Linked DNA regions of Astyanax mexicanus. The protein of the gene in region 2 binds, or shares a complex with, the protein of the main gene of each other region. Links are inferred from orthologs where the notes say so. Each region holds a gene or a part of one and is shown on either strand. Other genes may lie near its edges.

Region 1 (7,979 bases), on a different chromosome or scaffold from region 2:
GAACATATTCATGACCTTGTAAACAATTAAAAAAAGATCTGATCAGTCATTTGCGCCCAGTTCAAATTACTATATCACATTCCTCCAGACATTGTGGTTTTTTTACGTTGCCAAGAACTCAAGAAATGAGGGGAGGAGAGCAGAAAGGGAGAATTACATAGGAAACGAAAGAGACAGAGAGAGAGAGAGAGAGAAAGAAAGAAAGAAAGAAAGAAAGAAAGAAAGAAAGAAAGAAAGAAAGAAAGAAAAAACAAACTTGCATGCTGCTTCAATTGTGAATTGAAAAAAAAAAAAACGATACAAACTGTCCATTTAAGGAAAGCAAGGAATCTTTTCCGACCAAAACATTCTGTTTACATTCTCAGCAGTGACAGGACGTCCTCCTCTTAAAGTACTTTATCTGTTTCCTATTCTAAAGTTCTCAAGGTAATGTTGGAATTACATACTATGTCAAGGTGCTGTTGTCAAAGCTTTGCTGTTTATTTTTTTATCCCCACGAAATGAAAGAAAAAATACTATAAAAACTATATATATATATATATATATATAAATATATATAAAATCTATTCATTGATATGTTCTGGATTAATATAATTCATTTTGTATGTTGTGAAGTTGTTTGCAATATTAAATTGAAATATTTGAAGAAATAAAAATGACTATAGGCAACTGAAAAACTGAAAAAAGCAATGTCAATAAAGTCTGAGCTCTCCCTTTGCAGGTTTAAATTCAGCACAGATATCGGAAAACAGAAGATTACCTTCTATATTATTATAATATATTATTTCATATGTAAATTGGTGTTGCTTGTCAGAGATTGAGGCTAGTTTTGGACTAGTTTCCAATTCTACAGAATATTGGCCATACTTTATAGTATGTTCTGTGTCTGAAAACTAGACTTTTATTGTGAAGAGGCAGAATCCTTTATGAACCTGGTTGTGAGCAACGTTGAAACCGGAAATCCAGATTAAAGGAGAACACTGGTGTGAAATGGGCTTTTGTTATAGTGAAACATGATAATGATTATAAACTTTTGTTGAATAGCCCACCTCTGCTCACCCTCAGCATTTTGAAATACAGGGCTTTTAGTTGATGCTCCCAACTGGCTTGCAATGCTAGTGGTAGGGGCATAGTGTCGCCCATGCAAAGAAATGGCTATTTTTACAGCATTAACGAGGCTACAAGGTACTGTATGTATAAACAGTATTTTATACATATATATATATATATATATATATATATATATATATATATATATATATATAGTTTTTTAATAAAGTGTAGAGCTACTTTGAGCCTTGCTAATGATATAAACATAGCGATGCCTCTAATGCTAGCATTGTTATCCTGTTGGGAGCATCAGCTAAAAGCATTGTATTATATAATGCTAAGGGAAGATGGAGGTGGGCTATTGAACAAAAGTTCCTACTTATTAATCATATTCATCAACACAAGTCAATTCCACACCAGATTTCTCTCTTTTTTTAAGGCTAGATTAAACATTGCACCTCCTCTCAGAACGTCTTTCACACACACTACCTGACTCACCAAGGAGTTGGTGACCTGGGAGTTCCTGCAGCATGTTCAGGTAAGGACTCTTCAGCCCACGCTAGACTGAGATCTGCTCTGAAGTCGGTGGTGGTTCCCTCCAGTCACTGGTCACAGGCTATCACAGGTTTCCATCGCTGATGGAGATCATCTTTGAGGAGAACAAAAAAAGAAAGAGATCAATGCATTCAACACTCATCCACTCGACTTGATATCTGATCCATCTGCGAGCGCAAACCTGCTTTCACTCATAGATTGTTATCAGACACATGTGTCTGAAGTGTTGACACTGAGGCAGTATTGGAGATAAGGCACAATGTAGGAATAATTACTCTTTCCGTTGCTCATGAATATTTAAAAATATCAAAGGAAATCATGTTGGGGTAGTACGCTGTAAGAGGACTATAATTATGATAATGATAATACTCTATGAATTATTATTATTATTGTGCCATTTGCATTCATACTACTATTATTATTATTACATTATTACTACCGTATTACACATGTCCTTACACCTACTACCTATTCATAAGAGCTTCTATAGACTATAGATTTGCACACACCTAAAGAAGGACATCAAGGACCTTCGCATTTTTCTCAAGGACCTTCATCAATAACCCTCCTCAAACCCTCTAAATACAGGTAAAAGTGTTATTTTAAACCATGCAAACTGTGTCAGTTGCAATACTAACATAACTAATAACTAACTAATAACCTGAATAAAAATGAGAACAAATCCACTTCAGGTAGGCCAAGAGCCATTTTCACACTAAACATTACACCTCCCACTGACCAAGAGCCCGGTTCCATATCTCCTGAGTTATTTTAGTGAAGTTCAGATTGTCCCCAGTTCAAAGGCAGTGCTTGGTAAGAGCCAGCAGAGCCCTGTCCCATATGCCACAGAAATAGGTCACACTTAGCCTGTCCGTTTCTGAATTATACGGCTCTTAAAACATGGTGTCTGTGCAGTTTGCTGCTGTAATATAACACCAGAGGAACAGAGCAACAGAGCAGGATGATGGATGATGGATGAAGGCCTGGCCTGCTAAGTACCACTGGAACTGGAAGTACTGGAAATGGATTAACTCTGATGGTGAGACAGATATGATGCTATCCTGCTGATATTCCTGCGTTCTTATGATAATAACAAAATACAATTAAATTAAATAAATAACTTATCTTATTTTAGAACATTATTCTTAGATAAATCAAAAATACTAATCTAAAATCCATACAATGGAGGTAATTTAGCCTCATGGCCAGTAGATGGTAATGCTATCTAGCTAATACAACACCAGTAAACTCTCCCTGTATTCCCTATTTTAGACATTTTCTACCTAATTCCAACCATGAAACATATGCTAAAACTCTTTAATTTAGGTTCCTATCATTATCCAACGCTACAAACATGCTATAAACTGTTTTATTTTTAATAGAATCTCTATAGAGTGGGAGAATATCATCCACTTGAGAATGCTGTGTTTCAGGTGTGTCAGACACTAGAGGGCGATTCCAGTCCAAAATGAATGGGTTCCTATGGAGCAATTGAGCAAAAACACATTTTATAAACGTTTTATATATTTTTTACTGATAAATGGACTAATTTTCTCAAAACAGAGCCATATTAAATGTTTCAGCACAGCACACATCATTTTAAAAGCTTTTCAACTCTATTTATAAGAGTTTTAGCCAGTCACTCAGTACTAAGTAGCATAATGCTAGCGTCTCTACTGTTCAAAATATGTGTACTATAGAAAAATGGATCCATACAGGTAGGTTTTCTTGTCTTTCTGAGTGAAATACTTTATTTTACTTTTTAAAATGAAAGTAAAATCATGCATGAGTAGTTAGACAGTATTTGAAATATTGTTTTTAGCAGTTTAGCTCCATTCACTCCCATTCATTGAGGACTCTCTCGCGGGCTCCCTCTAGCGGTAAGATAGTAATTTGCTGATATAAAGGGTGAGATATGAAGTGGGTAGTCTCTAAATACTTGATTCAGATTAAAAGTAGATTTAAAGGCAAAGCTGTAATTAATTATAACAATATTGCCAAATCATTACAACAACAACAAGAAAAAATTACAATACAAAATACACAACAAAGCCTGCACAAAGCCTTCTCCAAATATTCTCAATGGGGTTTAGGTCTGGACACTGGTGGTCTATTCTGAAGGACAACAGGTCTAAATTTTTGTTTTGTGCCACAAATCATTAAAAAAGGAAAAGAAAATACATGATGTCCATTGTAATGATTTTTCTGATTAGGTAGCCCTATTCTGTTTTATTTTACTTAGTTGAGTATTTATTGTCATAATCTGGATTAGAACATTACTAAAATAGAGCTATTCACTGTATACCTGTACCTCTACCTCTTCACAACTTTACAACTGATGCTCTCAAACACATTAAGAGACAAGAAATTCAAGTAATTAACTCTTGACTAGATCAGCACAGCTGTTAACTGAAATACATTCCAGGTGACTCCTCATAAAGCTGACTGAGAATCTATACACACTAAAGTGTGCCATATCGTATTGCACGCAATAATATCACCAACATTTTAAATGTCTTGAACAATATAATACCCTGAAATAATGTGCCATATCACGCATCCCTAATTATCAGGGTACTACTTTTTTGCTTTTAAAAGAAAAATTCACAATGTCCTCATTTCCCTTTATCTATCTACTGGTTTATAACTGTCAAGTATCATTCATTTTACTTTAATCCTGGATATATGGAGATATTTGGAGTGCATTATTATTAGTATCATGACATTCTGGATCATAGACTTCTGTTACAAATCTCAGTTAAGGGTGTGCCATATCATATCATATGCAATCATAACAATTATTTTTAATTTTGTTCCAGTAGTGTATTCTTGAAATACATATCGCCCACCCCTAAGCTATGCTATACATTATCCCACCATCATTACATCTGAGTACAGGTACACTTTGTAACAAAATTATATTACTCCTTTTTAAAACACTAAATTATTAAAACAAACTTTTTTTATGAAAACTCTAAATTATATATATATATATATATATATATATATATATATATATATATATATATATATATATGTATATATATATATATATATATATATATATATATATATATATATATATATATATATATATATATATATATATACGTATATATATATATATATACGTATATATATATATATTTTTTTTTTTTTCAGTGTTTTCTCATATCGCCAAAAGTATCGTTATCGCAAAAATACCATGAGATGTCGTGATATTATTTTAGGGCCGTATCGCCCACCCCTAACACACACATACACAAACAATACTTTGTGTTTACAAAAGGAATGCGCATACCGTGCGCAGCGAGGATCCTGCCCGCCTCCCGCTGTAATCTCTCCGCATTAGCTAGCTTAGGTACAGGCAGCGGAGCCGCGGCGCTGAGACCGAGCCTTTATTCCGGCACTAGCGGACTAAACCCGGGTAACATGGCCTCGCTGGGGGAACCTGTGAGACTGGAAAGAGGTAAACTGTGTATTTCAGTGCTTTATTTTGTGTTTTAAAGGCTGGAGAGGCGCAGTTAGCCTGCTGTCTGAGATAAGCTTTATTCCGGGGCTGCTGGAGGCTATTAGCTAAACTAAGCTAAGCTAACCCAGGTAGCTCACTGTCAGCTGGACTAGCTTAGCTTAGTTCTAGTTCAGATTTTTGAATTAAACCAGCCCGAAAACTACTGTTTTTATCACTTTAAATATATTATAATGTTAATTAGGCACTAATATAGTATCATTTAACCAGTTCAGTCGATTACTGTTTTGGAAAATGTGGAAAAGTCTTGAAAAATTTGTGTAAACGTGAGATTTATGGTGGGATAATGTGTAAGTTAGCTGTCATTGCTATAGAATACTCTACTGCAACAAAATGAATATTATAATTTATTTGGAGATATAATAGCATATAACGGTAATATGATAGATTTTTAATTGAGGAACACAAAGTTTGTTGTAATAAATTACTTTTATTTTATTATTTTTAAACTGGTGGCATACAGTAACGTTATAGTTAGCATAGCTATTAAATGCTCTACTGCAACAAAATAAATATTAACGTTTATTTGGAGATATTGTAGCATACGCTATGATATGGCACACCTCTAATTTAAAGTTTTTATATTTAAAAAAAAAGTTTTTTTTAAATGTATTAAAATTACTCCTATTTTAAAAAAAGGAGTAATATAATTTTGTTAAACAGTATACCTGTATTCAGATGTAATGACAGTGAAAGCCTCTTGACTTGAAAATGTCTTGAAAAATGGGTATAAATTGAGTTTTAATGTATAGCATAACTTAGGGGTGGGCGATATGGTATTTTGTGGTATTTTCATGATAACTATACTCTTCGCGATAAAAATTGTATTTCAAGAATGCACTACTGCAACAAAATGAAAATAACATTTAAATATTGCTTATATGATATGATATGGTACACCCCTAACTGAGATATGAAAAAATACAAGAAATTGATCAGATTTGTAACAGAAGTCAATGATCCAGAATGTCAAGATACTAATAATGTACTCCAACTATCTCCATATATCCAGGATTAAAGTAAAATAAGTGATACTAGACAGATATAATCATTCTCTAGTACATGTATAATGGGAAATGAGAACAGTCTGAATTATATTGTGATAATTAGTGGTGGGTAATATGGCACGATATTTTAGGGTGTAATATCATTCACAATATTCAAAAAGATTTATTTGTAGATAATATTTATCTGAAATAGTTATTATGGTGGCATAATGTAAAACATACTTATAGAATGCTCTACTCAACAAAATGAATATCAGCATTTATTTAGAGATGATATAACATACGGTATAATATGCCACATCCCTAATTTATTTATTTTTTTCATTGAGAAACACATGTAGTTGTTTTTAATTAATTGCTGTTTTTAAAAATTAGTTTGAAGTGAGTTTTATAATGGGGGCTTCAATATGTGAAGTGAATTCCAGTTAAATTTGTGAGGTGGATATTTAAAGGGTTGGGTATGGAAAGGCAAGGGCCGATGTCGTCCTCAGGCTGTAAAATGCCCAGATCTCCTTTTTTTTTATTAAAAAAATCTGCTACTACTGATGCATTTAGTCTTGACTGTGAAAATATGATGCTAAATATCGTTTATATCATTTCTGATACAATATTTAATTGTATTGCCCAGCCCTGTTGTTGACTTCCCTAAATCACAAAATAACTATATAAAAAAATTCCAGAAGGATTTAGATTAATTGGTACTCCTGGTTTGTTGTCTGGTCTTGCCTCACTGAAAATATCTTTTCACAGATATCTCTCGTGCCATTGAGTTATTGGACAAGCTCCAGAGGACAGGGGAAGTACCCCCTCAGAAGCTGCAAGCCCTGCAGAGGGTTTTGCAGAGTGAATTTTGCAATGCTGTACGAGAGGTAAGCTCACCTTGAGTACTCTTCATTAACATTAGACCCACTGATATTGGATAGTTACACCCATGATTCCAGTAATATTGTTAATAAATCATAAGAAACTGGTTAAATTACTTTTTACTTTTCATTGCACGACTTTGTGTAACCATTTACAGTTATTTAGTGATGTTAAGTATACTTTATTTATTTATTTATTTATTTAGAAACTTCTCACTTTTCTGTGTTTTGTATATCTAAAAAATACAATTTTTCTAGTCTCCGCAATAACAACAAACCATCCAAATAGACCGGCCATGAAAGTTACCTTATTACCCCATTGTATAATAATTGTTTAATTATTTTTACTGACGTCAAAAAATTGTGCATTGTGTTTATTTTAATGAACCTTTATTAAACATTAAAGGTAGTCCTAATTTTTAACGAAACCAAATATTTACAACGTAAAGGAAATTGGAAAATAAAATAAAATTAAAATCAGTTATAATCAGGTTTAACTAAAATAAGTAACTTCATAAAGAAGACAATAAAAAAATTAATGGAATATGCATTAAAAAGCAAACAATAAACATTTAACTGCCGTTTGGACTAGTACATCATCTAAATAAAATGTAGTTATTTTGACAGGCCTTCCTACATTATAGTAATTATGAACTTTTTTTTTTTTTCCTTTTGAAATATAATTTTAAGAAGTTTTTTTTGTAGTACATGTAGGCTTTTAAAACATTAAGGCATTATATGCTTTAGACAAGAATTGCTCTGTCCATGGACTGAAACATGTTCCTGTATGCTGAGAATCCATTTAAGTAATTAGCCATAGGCTAAAAGGCTTTATAGGAGTGGCTATGTTTGTCCTAGAAAAGGAAAGACCAATTAAAGTCACACTAACAGCCTCTACAACCGATAGCTGTGCTGACCATTCGGTTCATCCTTTCTCAGAGAAGCGAGTCTCAGAAGACGGACGTGCCAGTGCCC
Region 2 (7,484 bases):
TGATATTTTATTGTATTTAGAAACATACTTATTTAAGCTTATTGAGAATACCATCAATCATTTAAAGTGACCCAACTCCACGTTTTATTAAAAAGAGTGTAATTTAGTCCAGGATAATTAAGGACAGGATAATTAGAATAAAAATGACTGTGCTCTTATAAATTAAAATGGTAGATTTTAAGATATGTCAGTACTGACAGTACTGATATATTGTGATATATTTTTACCATATTGCCCAGGCCCCATTAAGTCCCAAATTCCACCATATAATAATCAATACTATCAGCAGCTTAGTTTGCAAATACTTAGTCTTTTCTGGTATAGACCACACCTACTTTTGATTTGCGGTTAAATAAAAAAAGTTGCTGAATTGAATTTATGTTATCGGTATCCCGTTTCGTTATCGGTATCACTACTGAAAAATTGTGAATAATACCCAGCTCTACTCCTGGTTCTTTTTTCCATCTATTCTTTTTTTCTTTTTTTGCATTTTGTGCCACTGCTGTACAAGTTCTGTCACTATATTGACTACCTGCTCAGTGACCTATACGAGAGCCATCACGCAGAGTTGGCTACATGAAGGCTTGTCTAGATGAGCTCTCAATATTAGTCTTATCTCTTCAGGGCTTCCACCTTAACTCTAATCCATTTATCCTTCTCAATGTTTTTAAAAAGTTCTAATGTTAACTGCTTTAAGTGTATTAATTTATGGTGTCTTAAAGAAGCTAAAAATGTAAAAATGTTTGCGTTTTGTGTTTGAATTTGTTTTCTTCTTGCATCACATCTGTGGATCGAATGCCGTAACGCAACATGTGAAGAGCTGAGGTGAAGTGCGCTGGTACATCTATGCAGATACATACATACATTCTCATAATTATTTTATCAAATGTTGGGAAAAGGAAGAAATTTAGTTTTGTTTTAGTTTTTTTCCTTCTCATGTATTTTAGGTATGTTTACATAAGGTACTGTAGGTTTTCTTTTTGGCTCAACCACAATAACAAATCTAGCATCTCATTCATGTGTTTATATATTTATTCTTAGATTAAAAAGATCTGTATCCACAATAAATGTTTGTCAGTTGCCTACCACAGGAAATAAAATTTCTCTTGAAAACAATCTTTCTGCTTTTTCTAAACAGTTGTATTCATTTAGTATTTGGGATTGTTTGATGGGGCACTATGTAATTTTATTTTCAACAGTCAATGTCTCAGTGTCCTTCTAAAGGGCCAACTTTTCATCATGGATAACCCATTCCAAACCTTTCAAGCCTGGTTACAGTGTCTGTTGGCATTGCGGCTTCAACTCGGCCGGGACCAGCTGTTAGCATCACTGCTAACCCACTCCAAGGGTGTGTGCCAATTGCATACTTACAAGTAATACTTATAACTAATACTAACACGTCTTTGACTCTTTAGTACAGATACAAGAGTCAAAGGTGAGTATACTACAATATTAATGATACATACTCAGAACCAGTTGTTTTTTAAGTGTGGTTATATTGGACACTTATCCTGGAAAGAGTGGAGCTACTTGTGTCTAGACCAGTATTAGGGTGGCGGAGGAAAATAATGAAGTGGAGCAGCAACAACGTTAGAAGAACTGTTAAAGCTGACTGTTGGCATCTCAGCTAATTCACTCCAAGCATTTAGAGCCTGGCTCCTGCTGTTTGATAAGTGTCCTGCCTCCACCCTTCTGAAGCTGACTTAACTTTACGGCTAACTGTAAACATGGCTGCTGACCTGGGCCAGCATTGCCAAGCCCAGCATTTAGCCAAAATATTAGGTATGTTTAGACTGTAGCTTTCAGCTAAACATTTTGTTCTGCTGTGCTGGTGGTCTAATCGTATTGTTCCATGGGGGAACCTAAGTTTCCACAGACAGAATAAATGTTCATGTACATTTGTGTGCTAGTCAGAAGATCCAACCTGCCGCATGTTAAGAATTACGAGGATGTCATGACCAAGTGCTTTGTTGTAAACACCTGCTATCAAAAATAAATAATTATGTAGTATCCAATACTGATTACTGAATACTGATGAAGTTGTTACAGAATATTGCCTGTATATTATTAAATATTTACTGAAGTTCCCTGAAAGGAAGCAGACCAAGAAAAGTGACTTTAAAAGCCGTGTACAAGTTAATCCACAGTCTGTTTTCAGTCTCAGTGCTTCATTCAGAAATACTGGGGCTTGTGGTATTGTTTGGCTCGCAGGCCTCTGATGTCACGCCTGCTGTGAGGGCGGAGACACTGAGCCACTGTGTTCCTTTTTTCTCCACCCGTATTCCAACAGACCACGCCTATTTGGCTGGGATTGGCTGATAATATCCCACTGACAGCGCTGGGATTGGCTAGTAGTTCATGCTCACCAGAGCCATGTAGAGAGCTCGAAAGCTGTCAGATGTCCACTCTTTGAAACTATATTATATATTCTGAAAATAATTATGATATATGTATTGAGTATTTGATTAACTTTAGTATTTTTTTTCTAAATATAATTTCCATTGCATACATTTTAGTAAGTCTACCCTCCAAGCTGCACTTTTCTGTTTTAGAACTATCTGAAAGGCTTTAAAACTCTTAAAAGGGCAATGTCTTTTATATTTTCTGTACTAACTCTTATTCTGTAAATAAGCAGGATATGTTTTCAGATATTAAGGAAACATGCTAACTTTAAACATTGGCATCTCCTGACAGCACTGCTTTATCCAGCTTTAAACTATCCATTAATAAAGGAAATTTCTTTGTGTTTTAGCTTCTGACCCCACCATCTGCCCATTTCCCAGTCCCATTTCCACACCCTGGGTTTGCAGATAATGTACACAACAAACAAAAAAACAGTGTCCTGGAGCCCCAGCATCCTAAAAAAGGCTTCATGACCTGAGAACAAGTAAAATGTGAGTAAATATTGTCAGTGTATTTGATAGATGGAGACAGCTTAGACCCAGAAAGACTACAAGACGAGTGCTGAGCTGTAACATTTTCTGCTATACAGGTAAGCAATGAGATATGTTATTTGTTAAACTCAGTATTATGTTATTGGGATCTGTAAAACAAATAACTCCAACTTTAGAGTGTGTATTTTTGTCAAGCTAGCTAACAGTTGACAGATTTATAAATGTGCAAACAACAAAACATTTATTACAAACATATACATAAGCTGACCAGCTTACAGAATATGATACATTGTCACTTTCCAATCGCAAAAAAGGGTTCTTAAACTTGTTTTGGTGGATTCAATAGACAACCTGGCAAACCAGATGAGTAGCCCTGCCATGATAATGACATAATCAACTTTAGCCATTCATGTAATGCTTTGTTATGCTATTCTATGACAGTGGCATTTAAATTGTCATAAAATGACAATAATATAGGGTGCTGAGTGGTTCAGCAATGTAAAGTGCTGCCACTATGGTCAGAAGATTGCTGGTTCGTATTCCTGTCATGCAGCTTGCAATCAGCTACTGGAGCCCCGAAAGAGAACAATTGGTCTCTCTCTGGGTGGGTAGATGGCACTCTTCTTCCCCACATTACTACAAAGGGTGATGGTGATCAGCACAAGGCGTCTGTGAGCTGATGTATTGGAACCGAGTTAATGCGCTCTCCTGCAAACGCACTGTAATGTTACTCAGCAATGCTGCATCAGCAGCAGATTGAAAAGGGGTGGTGGCTGACTTTACATGTATCAGAAGGCATGTGCTAGTCTTCACTCTCCTTGTTTTATACAGCTGAGTAGCAGTAGAAATTTAAAAAAAATTCTGGAATGATATATTGTCCACAAATATTTGTCTGGAGAGGGCATGGGGAGGGTAACCAAATCCAGTCTCTACCTATTTTAGTCTATTGTTCTAAAATTGTAATGCAGTGTTGTATACACTTGCTGTATTTTAGTACATTTTGTCCTTTTAAATAATTATTTCCTTTAAAGTGGGCGTGGCGGAATAAGGTGGCAACAAATATGAACCCCTCGGACTGCTCTGTCCACCCCCTTTTTTTTCATTTTCTTCCTTTTTTTCCGTTACAGTTGATGTAAATATTGTATGACAACTTACTTTTCTGTTTGTGCATATTTACAATACTGAAAAAAATTAAAAACATATATATAAAAGCATAAAATAAAATGAATAAAAATATTACAATACAAAAGTAAAACATGAACAAAAAAAGCCTGTCCGATGTGATGCCACAGACGATGCCACCAGCCAATCCGAGCACGCGACTCATCCCGGTCGCCGTACTACCAGCCAATCGTAGCTTAAGGAGGCGGGGCATGGTTCGTAACGGGTGGGGAAAAAAATAACGCACTCGTCTCGCGCAGAGTGTGAAAGGCAGGGACGGAAGATGGAGGAAAACCGTTAGACTGCCCGAAACAGGTGAGAGCCGTTAAGCTGCCGGTGCAACGGTTTTATAACTACCTGCGCGTGAAGCTTAAATATCAAATTTCTAAAATTAACGGTCTTTTCTCAGCAGCGTTTGGCAGCGCTGCGGTGAGGACGCTCCCTTCAGCGGCGAGACCAACTGGAAAAAGCATTTAAAGGAGGCTTTCTAGTTGGGTTTGGGTGATTTTTCACTTTATTGAGGTATATTTTATATTTAGTGACTGTTAAAGCGTATATATTTGACGTGAGCTTGAAACGAGCACTGCCACGGATGCCGACAAAAAAAAAAAAAACGTCTCGGTGGGAGGAGAAGCCCCGTAAAAACCTAAGGTTAGCTAGCCTCCTGCTACGCCCACTTCACGGGGTTTTTTTTCAGTCAGGGACTGTAATAACGTGATAACGTGAATGTTGGCTAACGTTAATTGTTGGACTAATGCGGAACGAACCTGGGCCCAAATGTGTGGAAAGCTTAGCTAAGTTTCTGACACGATTTTAGAATTTAACAGTAAGGAGGGTAGGCTTACTGTAAATCCATCTTATATTGAGGAAACTGTGTTATAGATAAAGACAAACTTGGCTTGAGCTTGTGTGTAGTATGGTTATACTAAAATAGAATAGAATTTAATTTGTTTATTGCCCACATGTGGAAATTTATCCTTGGTCACTCATGGCATAAAGACAATTATAGCATATAATACTAATTAGCTAACACAAATAATATACAGCTTCAGTTTCTGAATCATTATTTTCTTGATTTTGCTATTTATAGGTACATATTTAAGTAAAATGAACATTGTTGTTTTATCCTATAAACTACGTACAACATTTCTCTCAAATTCTAAATAAAAATATTGTCATTTACTGCATTTATTTGCAGAAAATGAGAAATGGCTGAAATAACAAAAATGATGTAGAGCTTTCAAACCTGAAATAATGCAAAGAAATCAAAAGTTTTAATGCAAAAAATAATGTTTCAGAAATCAGTATTTGGTGGATTAACCCTCTTTTTTAATCACAGTTTTCATGCAGCTTGGCATGTTCTCCTCCACCAGTCTTACACACTGATTTTGGATAACTTTATGCCACTCCTTCTGCCATTCCATAGGTTTCAATTTACCAAGTAGGTTTACATTTTCCAGAGCTGTATTTGAAGTAGCTTGGTAGCTAGTTAACTAGCTTTTGGCATTCCTAGCTTATACCATCTGTAGCTAGAGATACAAAATATATATTTATCAAGAGAGAAAAAGGGGGCTAGTTAGCTTAAATATTTCCTGTCACACCCAGCTTTACATTTCGTAACTCTCTCCATCCAGTGTTGGCACCATTTACGCCCCCTATGTGCAATATAGCTCTAGCCCGGGTCCTCTCCTCTCTTGCATCGCCCATCGCTCCGTAGGAAGTCTCTTTAGTGAATGGCGTCCTCACTACCAGCGCCTGCTCCGTTGTGCAGGTGGGCAAAACAGTCTACCGCAGCAGCAGCACCATAGACGATGCTCTGGAAAGCCTTGTAGCTAACTAATACACTGCAGATGCTGGGCAAGAGATCACTTCAGCTAAAGTGCTTTTATAACGCACTGTCTACTGGAGCTTAACTGTTCCTGCTATTATTTTCTGTCAAACACTGCAGGTAGAACAACAAAATCCCTTTGCCTTCACGAATGGTAAGCTGGCTTGTTAGCTGGCTGCGTCTTCATTGACTGGGTTGGTGACTGAGGTGATTTGTGATCCTATAGCTAACGTGGTTAATCTAATCAGTTTACCTTGATCGTTGTTATGTGTTGGTGGATCCTGCAGTCTGCAGTTCTGGTACCGTTGTGTCGCAGTGGGTAATTATTCAGGATTTTCAGGTACAAGCTATGTTTTGCAGGTTGGTTTGGCAGTGTTTTGCTTTTGCTTGAAAAACCCAATTAGCATCAAAATCCATATTGAATACAGATAAACTGTATCAACGTAAGTAACGCAATATGTATTTCATTTTCTTGTATTTGCTTTGGGTTGGAAAACTGCTGTCAGTGCCCTTTAAAGTAGTTTTGCAATAGGCAAGATTATAAATGACTATAAATTGGACATAATAGGAAATGGGAGAGATGTGGATCTCCCCTGTAAGTGTGTGGCTTATCTGCAGTGTCCTAATAATTCAAATGTATTGGTAAAGAAATTTTCACAACATATGTTGTCATTAAGCAAAGGAGCGTAACAGAAAACAAAAGCTTTCCTTTTTTTATCCGGATAAAGAAACCCTAAGAGTAACCAGGGGAAACCCATTTTCTGTTTTCAGAGAATTTCTAATAGCAATCATCTATAATGCAATCTGATTTTTTATTTGTACATACACTATTAGGCACAGTTGTGTATAGCACATCATTATGATTGGAGATTCTACATTGAAGGGAATTTAAATATAATCCAAGGCTAGGCTTAACCCTAGACTCTAAGACACTTTATCAGGACTACCCTTCTAATCAGGTGTATCCATTACTGACACAAGTTGTTGTTTTCTACAAACATATGTACGCTATAATGGACAAAAGTATTGGGGCATATTTTAAATGAAAAGAGTTTTAAAAATGGTTTATCCTGCTTTTTTGGATCATCTGCCTCCACTTTTCTGGGAAGACTTTCTCTAAGATTTGGGAGGTTTGCTGCTTATGAAGAATTTATTTGTCAGGGTATTGGATGATCAGCACCCCACTGCATCTCCATCTTTCCAACTAATCCCTAAAGTTTTGGGTGGAGAACCATCATTCCAGTTCCCCTTGCTCTACATTCAAATGCAGTCAGGCTATTCTGTTGGCAGTACCTATCTTCATTGCACAGCAGTAGGTGCAGATTTTGAAGCAGCTGAATTTAACCTATTTAATCAAATGAGTGTCCACAATCAGTTGGACAGATTATTTGATGTAGGAAACTTGAAGTGTTACGTCAAGAAACGGTTTGGAAATCCCAACATTGTGAGGTGTTACCTTGTGTGGGAGGTTGAACAGTGGCTAATGTGCTCATGGCAAGGCAATATGAATGATCAGTTTGAGCTAAGCCTGATAGTGGTTGCCATGTGGATGGCAGATTCCATTCTGATGTTGTGCAGGCATTTAACTGCTTATTCCTTGA
Region 3 (8,054 bases), on a different chromosome or scaffold from region 2:
ATAAGTCCATATCTGTCCTGCTTTGTACTTCTCCACAAGTACAGTAAATAAATATAAATATGGGAAAGGCTGATTGGTGCTACCTCACCGCTGTCAGTAACCTGAGGTAAGCGTGTGCTTTCTGTATGAAATTACATGGGCAACTGTATCTGCAGGTAAGAGATAACAAAAACAATACTGTAACATGCATTCCTCTTGCTCACAGTCTTCTCTTTCTCTCTCATTTTTCACTTCTTTTTTCTTTCATCCTTTCTCCCTCTCTACTTTTTGGTTTTCCTTCATTTTCCTGCTTTGTAGCTGCCTACAAGCATGCGGACGGTAAAAAGATTGACGGCCGGAGAGTTCTTGTGGATGTCGAGAGAGGTCGTACAGTGAAAGGATGGCACCCCCGTAGGCTTGGTAAGCAGTAACTGTTCTCCCGGATATAGTTGGATTTACTTTTGATTTTGTTTTAGTATCACATGCAATATGTACATCTTCTTTTTGTGTGCCTTATTTTGTACGCATTAATTTGAAAATTTACTGTTCATTTCCAGTCCATACAAGATAATTAAGCTGTGATAGTCTATCCTTGGTTGCTTTTTGAATGAGGCAGCACATTGCAACAGTATATTTAGACAAGATAACCATGTGCACCATACTTGTGCTTGGCACAGATGGAATTTTGCCTTGGGCTTTTACGCATCTATACAGTGAACATACGCAATAGTGAGTAGACTCAGAAGATGCAGTGATTTTGTGAGCACACATGCCCAGAGTGTTGGGCTGCCATTGCTGCATTGAGGGTTAAGGGTCTTGGTTAAAGGCCCAACACTGGCAGCCTTGTCGCTAGTGGCCTGGCTGTGAGCACTGAGCCAACACTGCACTCTATTTACATTTAAAAACAGTAAAATCTTATTTCAGTTTATAGGATTCAGTTTTAACCACATTCTGTGGATACAAAAAAAGAGACTTAACATAAATGTAATTCATAAATATACCTTTTCTGTATCCTTAGCTTTTGGGTGACAGCTAAATATCTCCTGTTTTGTGTACTTAATGTATTGGAACTGTGGCTTTTCTTCCTAGGTGGTGGTTTGGGTGGCACAAGAAGAGGTGGTGCGGATGTGAACATCAAACACTCTGGCAGAGATGACACATCACGCTATGATGATCGACCTATTGGGGGGTGAGTTCATGAGTGGTAGAAAAGGTGGTGGGTTAAAACTTATGATGTGGGCTAGAAATGGTCCTGCGGGCTTAGTGCTGCCACTATGATCAGGGGATCAGGTTAGAATCCCAGTCATGCAGCTTGCCATCACTGCTCTTTCCTCCGAGTGCAGCTAAGTGGGTTGGATAATTGGCATAGCTAAATTGGGGAGCAAAGAAAATGCTAGATGTTTTTATTAGGTGTGTTTGTATATCATTGTTATCTAAAAAGTATCTCCATTTTTGTCTGTTTCATGTCAAAGTTTCTTGATGAATTCTCCAATTCAACAAGACAAATTCTCCAAATCAAAAACTGTTCAAACTGAGTTACATTGAAAGCTAAAAGTTTTTGCTCTCTCCTTTAAATGTTCTCTTTGGTAGATACTTATTTCATTGGACAGCAACAGTGTGCTAAATTTTAATGTTTGTCCTCTTAGGATTGAAACCCAGTTTTTTTAATTTACCGTATTGTAACGAAGATCTACATATCCTGATTGCTGGTCTGTTCTTTTGTCATTTTAGTGACCGTGACCGCGAACGTGAACGCCACGACCGCAGTCGGGACCGTGACCGTGATAAGGAGCGCGGTGAGCGTCGCCGCTCTCGGTCCAGAGAGAGACGCAGGCGCACCAGATCTCGCGAGCGTGAAAGACCAATGGGAGCTGGTGAGGATGGTGGCGGCCGGCGAAGGGAGAGAGAGAGGGAGAGACCTGAGGGAGGGGAGGGCAAGAGCCGAGAGAGGAGCAGAGACCGCGACAGAGATAGAGAACGCAAGAGGAGAAGCAGGAGCAGGGACCGCAGGAGGGACAGGGAGAGGGGCAAGGGAGCCGAAGGAGGAGAAGAGGGCATGGGGGGTATGACTGACGGCATGGGAGAGGGAGGAGAGAGGGGGATGGAGGACCCCAGCGGAGGAGAGATGGGTCGAGGAGAGGAAGGCGGTGTGGAGGGAGAGGAAAGAAGCAGGGATAGAGACAGAGAGAGGGATCGGGATAGGGACAGGAAGAGAAGTCATAGAGATAAAGACAGGGACCGGGATAGAGAGAGGAGGAGGGACCGGGACAGAGACCGTGAGCATAAGCGAGACAGAGGCGACCGAGATCGAGGGGAGCGCAGAGAGGATAGACATGCCTCTATGCTGAACCCTGCTGGAGATTCTGAAGGATTGGGTAACGGAGCTGAAGAAGGAGAAGAATCCATCCCACCACAGTCTGAAGAAGGTTCTCAGGACGGGATGAGCATGGGCCTGAACCTGGGCATGATGGACCAAGATTCCATGCAGTCTGGAGAGGGCTACGCTTCTAATGAGAATGGTTACAAAATGGAGGCACAGGGTGACGAATACTGAATATAGTTTTTGTGGGTTAGAGTCTACACTCTAAAAACAGATGTGCTGAAAACATAGGACCAGTTTTGAAGACTTAGATCAGGCCTAAGCCTATCCCAGCTCAGTCCAAAACTACATGTAAAATCCATGCATGGCTAAACGAGTGCATATCTTGTATCTACGTGTTAAGTTAAGGACAACACATGAAACAATTAATTCAAAACTAATTGTATTTAAACAAAGAGAAAGATCACAGGAACACAGGCGGAAGTGGACATTTGTGTTAAACTTTCCATTTAAAAGTGTTAAATATTAAACAGTGGTTGTGTTCAAAATAAGAGAATGTGTTGTCCTTTACTAGATGCCCAACTGTGTTGCATAATGGAAACAAAGCATATTTTCACACATCGGCTTTGAGAGTGTAGTGTCTGTGGGATATTTCTGTTATAGTCAATCACAGGAGTCATTTCAAGGTAGGATGTATTTAAGATTTAATATGTTTTGAATTCTTCACTACTAATGTTTCTCCAGCTGCCCAACAGCAGCAGCGTGTACAGTTCTGTTTGCCTTTGTCATTATGTGGATCACACAGCAGCGGCTCTACGTCCAAAACCAAGAGAATTGTCTTTTTTAATAATAAAAAAAATAATTGTTGCCATAGGTTCACAAATTGCTCTTTTTGTAATTAGCTTTACTTGTTTTGAAAAAAATATAAACGTTATGTGAACCTGTCCCTGTTGTGGCAGTTTTGCCTTTTTTTGGGTTATGTTTTGCATCTTGATTTTCCCTAATAAATCCACATTTTTTAATGAAAATATTCGTGACTGTGTTCTATGACTTTTTAATCCTGTTTGAATACTGGGATGTGGTGATGTGTAATTTGGACTCTTGTTTAGTTTTACCTTTGGTACAGCTTGTTTAAGCAGGTGTACATGTAGTGTTTGTTTAAAACTATAGTAAAGCAGCAGACACTGAAACAGTTTCTACAGGTGTAATTTAATCTTCTATGTTGTCCAGATTACTACTACAGTTATGAATAAGAATGCCTCTTGCTGTATTATCTTTCTGTCTACCACCCCAGGCAGTTCTAACCAATGTGTGCATTTTTTTTTCCTGAGTGAAAACGAACCAAACCAAGGGGAACACTGCTGTTAACTGATTTATATTTTTAAAAAATATATTAAAAAGTCACTTCATTTCAGTAATTCAGTTCAAAATGTGAAACTCAAAGATGTAATGTGCACAGTGATCTATTTTAAGCGTTTATTTTATTGTTAATGATTATAAATGATGTTCAACCTATATAGCGCCTTTCTATAAACCCAAGGACGCTTTACAATTTGCAGGTTTTTACGTAAAAACATTTATACTCACCACTCAAACACGCACCGGTGAGAAGCGGCAGCCAGTAGTGCACAGTGCACTCTTAACCGGAAACGACTGTCCATCTGGAGGACTGCATTGGGCACTACAGCATTTACCCAGGACAGAGTGCCAATTAATACCTAAGCACAGTCATACACACACAAACTTACATACCACATGCACAAAGATCATTTTAGAGTTTCCAATTGACCTGATCTCCATGTTTTTTTTTTTTTTTTGGACTATACAAGGAAACCGAAGTCCCCGGAGGAAACCCACGCAGACACGGGGAAAACATGGAAACTCCACCCAGATGGGGATTTGAAGCTAAGACCCCAGTACTGGGAGGCGAACGTGTTACCACTAAGCCACCATGGCTCACAGTAAATAAATACCCAAAAATCAGTATCTCAAAACAATTAGAATATTATATAGGACCAATTGGGACGGTGGGCAGTTCAAAGCCCTGCTGGAAAATTTTGCGTTTCATTTGGAAATTAAGGGAGCAGAGTCTGCAGGACGAGTGGAGAGACACACAGTCCAAGCTGCTTGAGGTCTAGTGTGAAGTTTCCACAATCAGTGATGGTTAGAGAGACATGTCATCTGCTGGTGCTGAGCCACTGTGTTTTATCAAGTCCAAAGCCAGAGTAGTGTTTCTCCAAGAAAATCTAACAGCACTATATGCTTACCTCTGCTGACAACTTTAATGGAGATGCAGATTTCATTTTCCAGCAGGACTTGGCACACTTCCCAAAGTACCAATTGGTCCTATAATATAATATTCTAATTTTCTGAAACACAGATTTTTGGATTTTAATTGGCTGCAAGCCATAATCATCAACAATAAAATAAATAAACACTTAAAATCGATCACTCTGTGTGTAATACATCTATATAATATATGAGTTTTACATTTGAACTAAACTACTGAAATAAAGTAACTTTTCAACGATATTCTAATTGTTTTACAAGCACTAGTACATTAATTGTGAGGTAAATTAGCATTAGCCTCTGTGACTGAGCTGCTTAAGGAGAAATGCTAATATTTAGCCAATTTGCGGCGATCTCCGGGGAGCCAATCACGGCGCTCCGCGTCTCTGACGCGATGTGTTGCGTCATTCAGCAATACACTGCGTGCGCGGCGCGGATAGACGCAGCAGCACCGAGCCGCGACCCTCGCAGCGCGCGGAGAGAGACGGGGGCTTCCCTGCGGTACACGCTGCACCTCCCGCTCCGTAGAGACGCCGAAAGCCGCGAGCTGAACCCGAGCCGGAGCTCCGAGTCCCCATGATGTCATCCTACTACCACCCGGGGAAGGAGGCGGATATGGCGGCGATGAGCGAGCCGCTGTGCCTGGAGAGAGGTGGGGGCTGATCAGGCGCGCGCGCTGCTGCTCACTGTAGTAGCTGAGCATCATCACACACAGACCCCCGGCATCAGGGCTGGACCACGCATTCACTGTGTGTGATCCAGTGTGGCTGCAGGAGGCTGTGAGGGTCCGGGCTGTGGGGTGCAGGCAGCAGTGGGTGGTCACTCTGTGGTCAGATCTCATAGTAGCCAGTGTGTGTGTGTGTGTGTGTGTGTGTGTGTGTGTGTGTGTGTGTGTGTGTGTGAATGGACACCGCCCACATGCACCTACCTTTGGGGTGTGTGATCTGTTCTTCCTTCTTTGGGATAGTTTTCTCCTCCCCCTGTGTAAACTGTGCTGGATATAACCTAGATATCCTTCATTCATACTGCTTATATATATATGAATTAATGAATTATGTATGCAAACTGGTTTTATTTTGTACTGCTGACGTCAATATGATACATATATATATAGGACCAATGTTAAACCAATATTGTCATATATCAAATCAGTAAGAATTGATCCTATACTGTTGATGTAGCTCTGATATATGAGACCAGTATGAATTGGTCCTACACTGTAATGTTGATGTAGCTCTAATATGTATTAGACCAGTATGAATTGGCCCTGCACTCACTGTACTGAATTACATCATGCTATAGGACCAGTATAATGTGATTCTGATATATAGGACCAGTATGAATTGGTCCTACACTGCACTGTTGATGTATCACAGATATATATTGGACCAGTATAATGTACTGCTATATTGGCCCAAGATAAATTGTTGTGACATTGTACTGAATTACTGAGTCAAACCAATATTGTCATACATCAGAGCAGTATGAACTGATCCCGTACTGTAGGCTACTGTTAATGTAGTGCTAATATATATAAGACCAATATTAATTTGTCCTATACTATACTGTTGATGTATCTCTGATATATAGGACCAGTATGAATTGGCCCTATACTGTACTGTTGATGTAGCGTTAATATGTAAAGAACCAGTATTAATTGGTCCTACCCTGGACTTTTAATTTAGCACTGGTATATAGGACCAGTATGAATTGACCCTATACTCTACTGTTGATGTAGCTCTGATATATAGGACCAGTATGAATTGGCCCTATACTGTACTGCTGATGTAACGTTAATATGTAAAGAACCAGTATTAATTGGTCCTACACTGGACTTTTAATTTAGCTCTGGTATGTAGGACCAGTATGAATTGGCCCTATACTGTACTGTTGATGTAGCGTTAATATGTATAGAACCAGTATGAATTGGTCATACACTGTACTGTTGATGTAGCTCTACTCTACTCTGAACAGCTTCACTCTTTTTCATTCAGTTCTGATTCCTCTATAAACAAGCAGTCAGACACTTTTATAAACCGTTATGTGTAGAACCAACTGGTCTTTCTCTCTGTCCCTCTCTATCTCTCCCTCTCTCTCTTTCTGTCTGTCTATCTGTAGATGTGTGCAGGGTGATTGAGTTGTTGGACAGGCTGCAAAGGAGTGGTGAGCTGCCGCCTCCTAAATTGCAGGCTCTGCAGAGAGTCCTCCAGAGCAAGTTCTGCGCTGCTATCAGAGAGGTGGGCTTTCACCACACACACACATAGGGTCCACATCATATGTGATTCCTGTATAATTATTTTTTATTTGTATACTAAATACCACAATACAAATTGAAAATAACACAATAACACAGGGTAGGATATACAGCTCTGGAAAACCACAAATAATGCAGAGAAAACAAGTTCATAATCATAAAGTTTTGAGAGTTCAGAAACAAGATTTTCATGCAGTTTTCATGCATCTTGGCATGTTCTCCTCCACCAGTCTTACACACTGCTTTTGGATAACTTTATGCCACTGCTGGTGCAAAAATTCAAGCAGCTTGGTTTAATAGCTTGTGATCATCCATCTTCTTCTTATATTCCAGAGGTTTTTAGTTTGGTAAAAATCAAAGAAACTTTTTAAGTGGTCTCTTATTTTCCAGAGCTGTATGTAAAGGAAAGATGGATTTATAGATAGAACTTATATAGTAAGAAATCATAAACCCATAACCACTCTATTAGTTAATAATCAGATAAATTACGTAACTCCATAATATAATGTTTATTCTGTAATTGTCATTGTTTTTTGGACTTTATGAACCATTTGGTATGATGATAATAATAATTCATTTTAGTATTATGCTATGTTATGCTCTATCAAAATGTTATCCCATAACTGCCATTAGTTATTATGTACGCACATTAATTATTAGTATTAACATTATGCTTGGTTTTAGCTTGATCTCATCATTACCATTGTGTTTTATACACCCACTGGACTAATGGATAATGGTAATGAGGAGATCTGTATCTACAGCACTGTAATAAATGTCAGTCAAATTTAACCGTCACTAGAATAGTGAACTCCCTCAATATACCCTCCTTTATTACACTGTACTGGTTTAATAACACAAGTTAAATTAAACCTGACATTAGAAGCTGCTGTTTATCTGTTACTAATTACCTCTTCATTCTCCCCTACATCAAGCCGGATGTTGGCTGTTAGCTCCCTGTGGACAGTAAGCTGTGTGTGTGGGCAGGAGAGAAAGAGAGAGAGAGAGTTTCTGAATGCAGGGATGAAGTCACTGATTTGACTGCACTGTTCTTTCTTTCTGTCTTCTTCCCACACTTTCACAGCGACTGCTGCTCCTCCAGACCTCCTCTGTATTCCTCCCTTTCTGACTGGAGCACGTTCATTTCATTCTCTCTCTTCTCAAGCATCTCCTTCCCAGCTCCATCATTCTTCTGTCCATGTCTCACAGACA
Region 4 (7,840 bases), on a different chromosome or scaffold from region 2:
TGAATTTCTCAAAACCAGTTGTTCGGTCTGCACATCATCTCATCACTTATGCAGATCACAGAAATCATTTCTCTTTCATTTTAAAGAAGCAGCCAATTATTTCATACAACTGTCTGCTGTTTCCCAAATTATCAATTGCTCCTATCATGCAGATCACAATATATTATTTGTTACGCTGCAGAACTGACAGATACAGCTAGCTATTAGTTCACTGCACATGTCCTTACATTCAAATTATTTAAATTAGTTATCAGAGCCTGTAAAGCAGATTTTATATATTTTAATCACTGACAGGGTGCCGAAAATGTTCCAGCTGAGAATGACACAGATGTACTGTATTACATGCACCACAGGACCACCACAGAGCTGGGATTATTGTTTGGGTGGTGGGTCATTATTCTCAGCACTGCAGTGATCAGCTTTGATTATCATGGTGGTGGTGGTGTATGAGGTGTTAGTGTGTGTAGTGCTGGTACAGCAGTGCTGCTGGATTTTTTAAACACCTCAGTGTCACTGCTGGACTGAGAGTAGTCCACCAACCAGCATCTCATGGGCAGCATCCTGTGGGCATTGATGAAGGTCTAGAGGATGACCAACACAAAACGTGCCACAGATGACTTCACATCTACAATGTAGAGAAACTAGTTAAAAGTGTCTAATAGAGTGGACAAAGTGTTTAAATCCCACCGCATATTAAACAACAATCAACTATTATATAACTATAAAGTGCTCCTATATGCACAGTGGAGCTAAAACATAGATTATGGATGTAGAAACAAGTAGTTAGTCACAATGTTATGCTTGATAGGTGTATAATATATACAGTACAAAATAACAATGAATGTAATTCATAAGTCATGTTGCATATTCTGGAATGTAACCTAATGGAACTGGAATAAAGTAAATCATACACCTGGATGTAGCTGGCTTTAACCTGATGAAAATACTGTATTACTGATATTCTTGTCTGTTCTGTGGTACAACAACATGATCTGCCATTTATACAAACAGTAAAATCATAAAGATAAATTATGCATTATGAAATTCCTCACTGAGTATACTGATACATGACCACATGACTAATCATTTTGACTGTCTTGTTCATAATCGATGAATAAATAACTTTTTATTCTGGTGACTGACATGTTCACTTACATGTATACATACGTTTGGGTCATGGGTAAAGGAATTTGATTGCAGTGTGTGCATTTGCTGCTGATAATTTATGTGATGCTGTTTGTACAAGCTGTTCTGAGAAGTGCCCACACTGTGTTGCAAATATTAATTCAGATTTGAGAAATGCACCAAAGTGACTGTATTTGGGCCAAACATGGACTAATGTGTCCTATGGAGAAAACTGTGACACTTGGCCCCAGATATAATAGGCATAAAAATCACCACCAAATTGGTTCCATGACAATGCCTGACCGAGATGGCGACTAGCTCGACCAAAACATGTGGCAGGTCTATGAATCCACCCCTTACACAGGTGCCATTAGACCTAGATCACCAATGCTGTTCATTTCACATGGCATTGATTTTAATGTTACAATCAGTACTGTATAGCAAATTTGTTTATACTGGTTGACCTGACTGGTTGGGCTAAACTGTCAAACCCAGATAAAACAAATAGCTTATACTGGTCAAGAACTATATATAGAGCTTTATTGCCAAATATATTAATTCACCCATTCAAAAAAAAATTTACTTCAGGTGTTCTCATTACCAGCGGCCACTGGACTGTAGAACAGTTGTGACATGTTCTCTGGAGAGACCAATCATGCTAATTTTGTCTGGCTGCATTGTGCCAAGTGTAAAGTTTGGTGGAGGGGGATTAAGGTTTTTTTTCCAGGAGTTGGGCTTGGCCACTTCCAGTGAAAGAGACTCCTCATGTTTCAGCACACCAAGAGACTTTGGAAAATGTCATGCTCCTAACTCTGCAGCAACAGTTTGGGGATGCCCTTTCCTAATCCAACCTGTCTGCACACCAGTGCTCAAAAAAAGTATTTAAAAACATGGATAAGCATGTCTGTTTTGGAAGAACTTGACTGTTTTGACCTCAAACCCAATAGAACACCTTTGGAATGAATTAGAGTGGAGACAAGAGCCAGGCTTTCTCATCCATTATCAGTACCTGGCCTCACAAATGTGTCAAAAAAAACTTATAAACACACTCCCAAACCTTGTGGAAAGCCTTTCCAGAAGAAATAAAAGTGTTATAGCTGCAGAGGGTAAGCTCACATCATTCAAACCTCTATGGGTTAAAAAAGAGCAAATATTTTTGGCAATATATTGTAAGTTAGTCAACCAGTTTAACCAAATTGGTTAAGCTGGCCAGGCTGTTTTAGCAGTCTGCACTGTTTTGGCTGTACATTACATCCAGCAAGTGACCCATGAAGAACTTGTAAATAGCTGGGCTCGTAGATAGCAGCATTTTATCCTCTTCCAGCTTACCTGCAGTGCTCCAGCCCATTAAACCTCAGCTGGATGTCCCAAACAGAACCCTGCTCTGGGGCTGCTGCTGTTCCACTCCATATAAACCCACAGATTACACCAGGACTGCCTGGACAAGAATTGCCAAAACCATCACTCATACTGAACAGGAGCAGTGGACATCCTCAGATCATTAACAGTCAATATAAACCAACAGCCTCACAATAAATGCATCATCCATATATCTCTCTGTCTTACACACCCTCTTTCTTTCTCGTTCTCTTCCTCATCATCCCTATCTCTTTCTCTTTCTTGAGCTCTCTCTCTCATTTATTCACTCTGGATGACTGCATGACATAGGGCCTGTACTTTCTAGTCTAGTACCATTAAATACAGTTTATGAAATTGTGAAGGCACCTGTATGGCACCACATCACATTTAATACACTGGTGGCACTTCTCAATTAGAGGGGCACCTAACTGAGCACATCATCATGTTCTTTCAACTGTAGGAGAACACCATTCATTCACTCTACTGGAAAGGGCACTCTTTGGGACACGTTATAATGGCACCCCTACTACTACTGAAACGGCAGACGGGCACTCACAGATGGCACTCTTTAAGACAAATTATTAACATTTCTTGATCTAACAGCACAGCAACATCATTTATTCTAAGAAGGGGCACCTAATGGGCACTCAATCACTGTTTGTCCCGACTAGATGGGCAGACAATAGGGTTATTTGTCTCCTTTTCCACTTTAGATGGCACTTTAGTGACACTTTTTTACCATGGGGTCACCAAAGGGGCAGTTGCCCACTCTCTTTAATTATTCTGTCTTTTTCTCAACCTTTATCCCACTCATATATATTGTACTTCTGTATTACTGTACTACTGTACCCATTCTCTCTATCATTACATTTATCTCTCATACTACCCCTTCTCTGTCTATACCTCTTTTTCTCATTAACCCCATCTCTTTCTCTTTTACTATTTTATTCTCCCTTTTCTTGTTATCCCCATCTTGTCTCTTCCACCCCTCTCTCTTTTTCTTACTTTCTCCATCTCTTTTACACCTTTACTCTTTTACTCTCTCATACTATATCTATTTTTCTTTCTCTTTATGATCCCCATCTCTCCTTTACCCTTTCTCTCTTAACCTTACAATATTTCTCTCTCCCACTTTCTCTCTTAATCACTATCCTTAATCCACTATTCTCATTAATTCTCTTATTTTTATCTTAATTCTCTATTCTTCATAATCCTTTTCTCACAGCCTCTTTTATTCTCTTTATTCCTATAAACAGTACCTCTCTAATCAATTCTTTCTTCCTATCACTCATCCCTATTTTTCTTTTTCTCTTACTGCCTTTTTCTCATCAACCTTTCTCTCTTTTACTCATAATTGCTATCTCTCTCTCTCTCTCTCTCTCTCTCTATCTATCTCTCTCTCAGTCAACTCTCCCTCTCTCACATAATCTCTCCCTATCTCACACTACCTTTCTGGTGTTCTCTCACTCTCGCACATTCTCACACTATTTTTTCTTTCTCTACACCCCTTTCTTACTATCATTTCATTCTCTTTTATCTTATTACCTCTTTCTCATCGCTTCCCTCTCACTCTATAATCATCATTACTATCGCTCTCTTAACGCTTTCTTCCTATCTCTCATCCTTATTTCTCTCCCTTTCTCTCTCATTCTGCACCCCTCACACTTTCTTGTGTATTCCATTTCACTTATTCCTATCTCTTTCTCATACATCTCTTAATTCCTAACGCACTCTCTCACTAACTCTCCCACTCATCCCCTCTGTCTCTCACTCTTTTTCTGTACCTCCCTGCCTCGCTCTTGTTTTTTTTACTGCTTATTCTCTTTCTTAGTCTCTCTCACTTACTCTCTCCTCCCTATCTCCATCTTTTAACTCTTTATTAATCTCTCTCCCATTCTCTCTCCTCTTCCGTCTATATTTCCCACTGTTTTTGTACACCCGTCTCTCACTATCACTCTCTCTCACTCTGTACCTCTTTTTCCCCTCACCCCTTCCTCACACTATCTCTCTGCTACTTGTTCTCTCCATCACTCTCTCTCTCTATCTTCAGTTAATTCTCACTATCTCTCTCTCATCACTCTCTCTTCAGTTCATTCTTTCTATTTCTCACCTCTCTCTCTTTAGTTCATTCTTCCTATCTCTCTCTCTCTCTCTTCATCTCTCTCTCTTCAGTTCATTCTTCCTTGCTCTCTCTCTCTATAATAACCCCTCTCTTCTCCTACTCTTCCTCTCACTCACTACTCCTCGCTCTGTTTATCCTTCTCTCACTCTCTTCACTCCCCCTCCCATCCCCTTACTCTCTCTCTCTCTCTCTCTCTCTCTCTCTCTCTCTCTCTCTCTCTCTCTCTCTCTCTCTCTCTCTCAGTGTGTGCAGTAATAGAAGGCAGACATGGCGACGGTGGTCCAGCCGCTGACTCTGGAGCGAGGTAAGCGCGCGATGGATCCGCTAGATCCGGGCTCTAATTCGCTTAGATTCGGTTTATTTTATCTCCCGTGTAAACGCTTTAATTCCCGTATAGTTCGTATGAACGGCGTTTTTTATGGAGTGTGTTGCGCCGCGCGCTCCGGCTCGAGCCGCCGTGCTCGCGCTCGCTCGCTCGCTCGGTGTGGTGTGTGTAGTCTATCTGTCAGTAAACCAGGCTGAATTACTCCCACCTGTGCACACACCCGCGCGCGCTTTACTCGCGTGCACGCGCGTCCTTTACTCTCCGCTGTTTCTGTTTACTCCTGTACCTGAAGTTCGGGTCCAAACAATGGAGGGAGGGGGGTACAGGCAGGTGCTTCTGCCGCGCACGAGCTCCCAGACCCCCCTGTCATCATGCGCGAGCTGCGCGTGCACGCAGACGTTGCACAGCATCACTGGAGTAATGATGAGATCTGAGCTCGTGCTTCTGTTTTATGTTTTATGTTGTTTTGCGTACAATTCTCTAAAGGGGCTGCTGACTATGTGTTTCAGTGGAGTATTATGGGATGCGCGCGCGCGCGTGTGTGTTTGTGTGTTTTGTGTGTGTGTGCACTGTGCATGCACTATAGCCCCTAACTGGGAGTTAAGCCAGAATGGGTACGATGGTGTGAGTGTGCTGTGTTTCTGGTTGTACTGGTGTTCCTCAGGCCGATCTCTAATTGCCATAATCTTTAAATGGCCATAATAGTGTGTAGTCAAAATCTTCCACGATTAATTCCGGTCGATATGATATAATTATTATATGAATATGAACAGTAAAAAGCCTCCACCTGTGGTGCTCATCACTCAGTGACACTGCCAGGCTACAGTACTCTGTAGTGTTCTGCCCTTTGTGCTCAGCTTGAATTCAGTGAACTGACAGCAGCTCCCTGTTATGGACATCAGTCAGAGACAGATGTAAAATACTGTATGTCTCTCACAATCCTAGACCAGTATTTTATATTTTGATTTACCTTTATTCAACTAAAAATTATTGATAATTAGTAGAAGACGGTCACACTGATTATGGCTATAGTTCATGCTAATTGTAGTTATTGTAGTGTCCCGGCTAACTGGTGATTCTCATTGTTATTCTGAGCTGGATTATTCACTGATTTGATGGATATCTGATATGTAGATTATATCTGTATGATGCACGGTTGTTCAGTTATGAAGCTTAATAAGTTAATAGGTTATAAGTTTGGGGCTTAATGCGGGCCTCAGACGGGTAAAAATTATTTGACTGTTATTTTATAATAATTCATATAATAATAAATATTGATATTCAATTATTGTCCATTCCTAGTGTATACTGTGTAACTGGTGGTAGTGATGTGGTCAGCAGGCTAGGCTGAGCAAGGCTGGGATATTAATAGAGTAATGGGATAGCACTGGCCCATGGTATAACTGGTATGGCAGTAGCCCTTGCCCTGGTATGAGAGGTATGCTGGGTTATGGTGTTTTAAGGCTGTCTGGGTTAGTGATGGATGGTATAATGTGCTGTTAGCACACACTGAAGTGAGTGGCTCAGTAGGTTAGAGTGCTGCAGCCCTGATTTTATTATACTGCTTTAATGGCCTGTACCCTACATTTCTCTACTTGAGTATTTCTGATCTTTTTATAACATGTACTCAGTCACAATTCACATTTACACAACACACAGACTTTATGTTTATGTGAAGACTTTACACAATTTACTGAATTTAATATAGGGCAAAAATATCAAATATGACACTGAAGCTGTATTATTTTTTTGAAAAAACTGCATAAAGCTAATATAGGCTTTACAATTATACAGTACAGTACACCCCTCACATTTTAGTAGATATTTTCTTATATTTTTTATGGGACAACACTGAAGATATGATATTTTAAAACAATGTAAAGTAGTCAGTGTACAGCTTGTATAACCAGGGCTCTCAAGTTTTAAAGTGGTGGTAGTGTTCGCAGGTCTTCTTCAGTTGTACGAAGTTGTGGATGCGCGCTGTTCTTCTTCAGTTGTACAACGGGGGGAGCTGGGTGGGATTGGTGGATGTGCAAGTGTGGGCAGGTTTGCCGCCGTTCTCCTTCAGTTGTTCACCGAGTGTTTCAGAACTTTTGAATTGGACAGTTCTTCGCACCACCCTCTTTGACTAGGTCTGCCAAACAACAGAGTGATTTTTATTCTGATTGGCTCAACAAGAGTACATTATAATATACAGCCGATGGATTGGTAAGCGTGAGAAATACCATGTGTGGTGTGTGAGCGTGTGAACTCGCTGAGGTGCTCAAAGCGTGAGACTTGAGAACACTGTGTATAACAGTGTAAATTTGCTGTAACTTAATTCAATAGTCTGAACCACTAGAAACAAAAGTGAGTATATCTCTAAGTCAAAATAGCAAAATTGTGCCTAAAGCACCAACATTTTATGTGGCCACCAATATTTCCCAGCACCTCCTTAATCCTCTTGGTCATCGCATTCCTCAGAGCTTCCCAGATCGCCACTGCAATCCTCTTCCACTCCTCCATGACGAAATCATAAATCTAGCCTTTAGAGACCTTGCAATCCTCCACCTTTAATTTAAGGATGCCCCAGATGTGCTCAATTGAGTTTAGGTCTTGAGACATACTTGGCCAGTCCATTACCTTTTTCTTCAGCTTCCTCAGCGAGACAGTTGTCATCTTGGAGTTGTGTTTGAGATTGTTATTGTGTTGGAAATCTGCCATGTGGCCCAGTTTTCAAAGGGAGGAAATCATGCTCTGCTTCAGAATGTCACAGTACATTGAATTCAGCTTTCCAGTGTTGGCAGCACCAGGCCATGCATGTATCCCATGTTCTTGGACTGCTTGTCTTCAGCAAACTGTTTGTTGGCTTTCTTGTGCATCAGCTTTAGAAGAGATGTCCTTCTAGGTCAGTGCCATGCAGACTGAGT

What was found.
Region 1: apba1a (region 2) and lin7c share a complex: the UniProt entries of both Homo sapiens proteins name them as parts of the brain-specific heterotrimeric complex. The link is inferred for Astyanax mexicanus from reciprocal best matches to the Homo sapiens genes APBA1 and LIN7C.
Region 3: apba1a (region 2) and lin7b share a complex: the UniProt entries of both Homo sapiens proteins name them as parts of the brain-specific heterotrimeric complex. The link is inferred for Astyanax mexicanus from reciprocal best matches to the Homo sapiens genes APBA1 and LIN7B.
Region 4: apba1a (region 2) and lin7a share a complex: the UniProt entries of both Homo sapiens proteins name them as parts of the brain-specific heterotrimeric complex. The link is inferred for Astyanax mexicanus from reciprocal best matches to the Homo sapiens genes APBA1 and LIN7A.

The regions. Positions count from the first base shown.
Region 1 is NC_064430.1:6,993,614-7,001,592, reverse strand, and holds the start of lin7c (protein lin-7 homolog C), read left to right. Parts: upstream 1-4,905; 5' UTR 4,906-5,037; coding exon 5,038-5,074; intron 5,075-6,891; coding exon 6,892-7,010; intron 7,011-7,979. UniProt on the Homo sapiens protein: Plays a role in establishing and maintaining the asymmetric distribution of channels and receptors at the plasma membrane of polarized cells.
Region 2 is NC_064429.1:24,134,984-24,142,467, reverse strand, and holds the start of apba1a (amyloid-beta A4 precursor protein-binding family A member 1), read left to right. Parts: upstream 1-4,267; 5' UTR 4,268-4,370; intron 4,371-7,484. UniProt on the Homo sapiens protein: Putative function in synaptic vesicle exocytosis by binding to Munc18-1, an essential component of the synaptic vesicle exocytotic machinery. May modulate processing of the amyloid-beta precursor protein (APP) and hence formation of APP-beta.
Region 3 is NC_064426.1:20,923,101-20,931,154, reverse strand, and holds the start of lin7b (protein lin-7 homolog B), read left to right. Parts: upstream 1-4,990; 5' UTR 4,991-5,164; coding exon 5,165-5,240; intron 5,241-6,706; coding exon 6,707-6,825; intron 6,826-8,054. Other genes in the region: snrnp70 (U1 small nuclear ribonucleoprotein 70 kDa), read left to right, coding at 298-399, 1,069-1,168, 1,711-2,533. UniProt on the Homo sapiens protein: Plays a role in establishing and maintaining the asymmetric distribution of channels and receptors at the plasma membrane of polarized cells.
Region 4 is NC_064409.1:24,819,368-24,827,207, forward strand, and holds the start of lin7a (protein lin-7 homolog A), read left to right. Parts: upstream 1-4,777; 5' UTR 4,778-4,873; coding exon 4,874-4,910; intron 4,911-7,840. UniProt on the Homo sapiens protein: Plays a role in establishing and maintaining the asymmetric distribution of channels and receptors at the plasma membrane of polarized cells.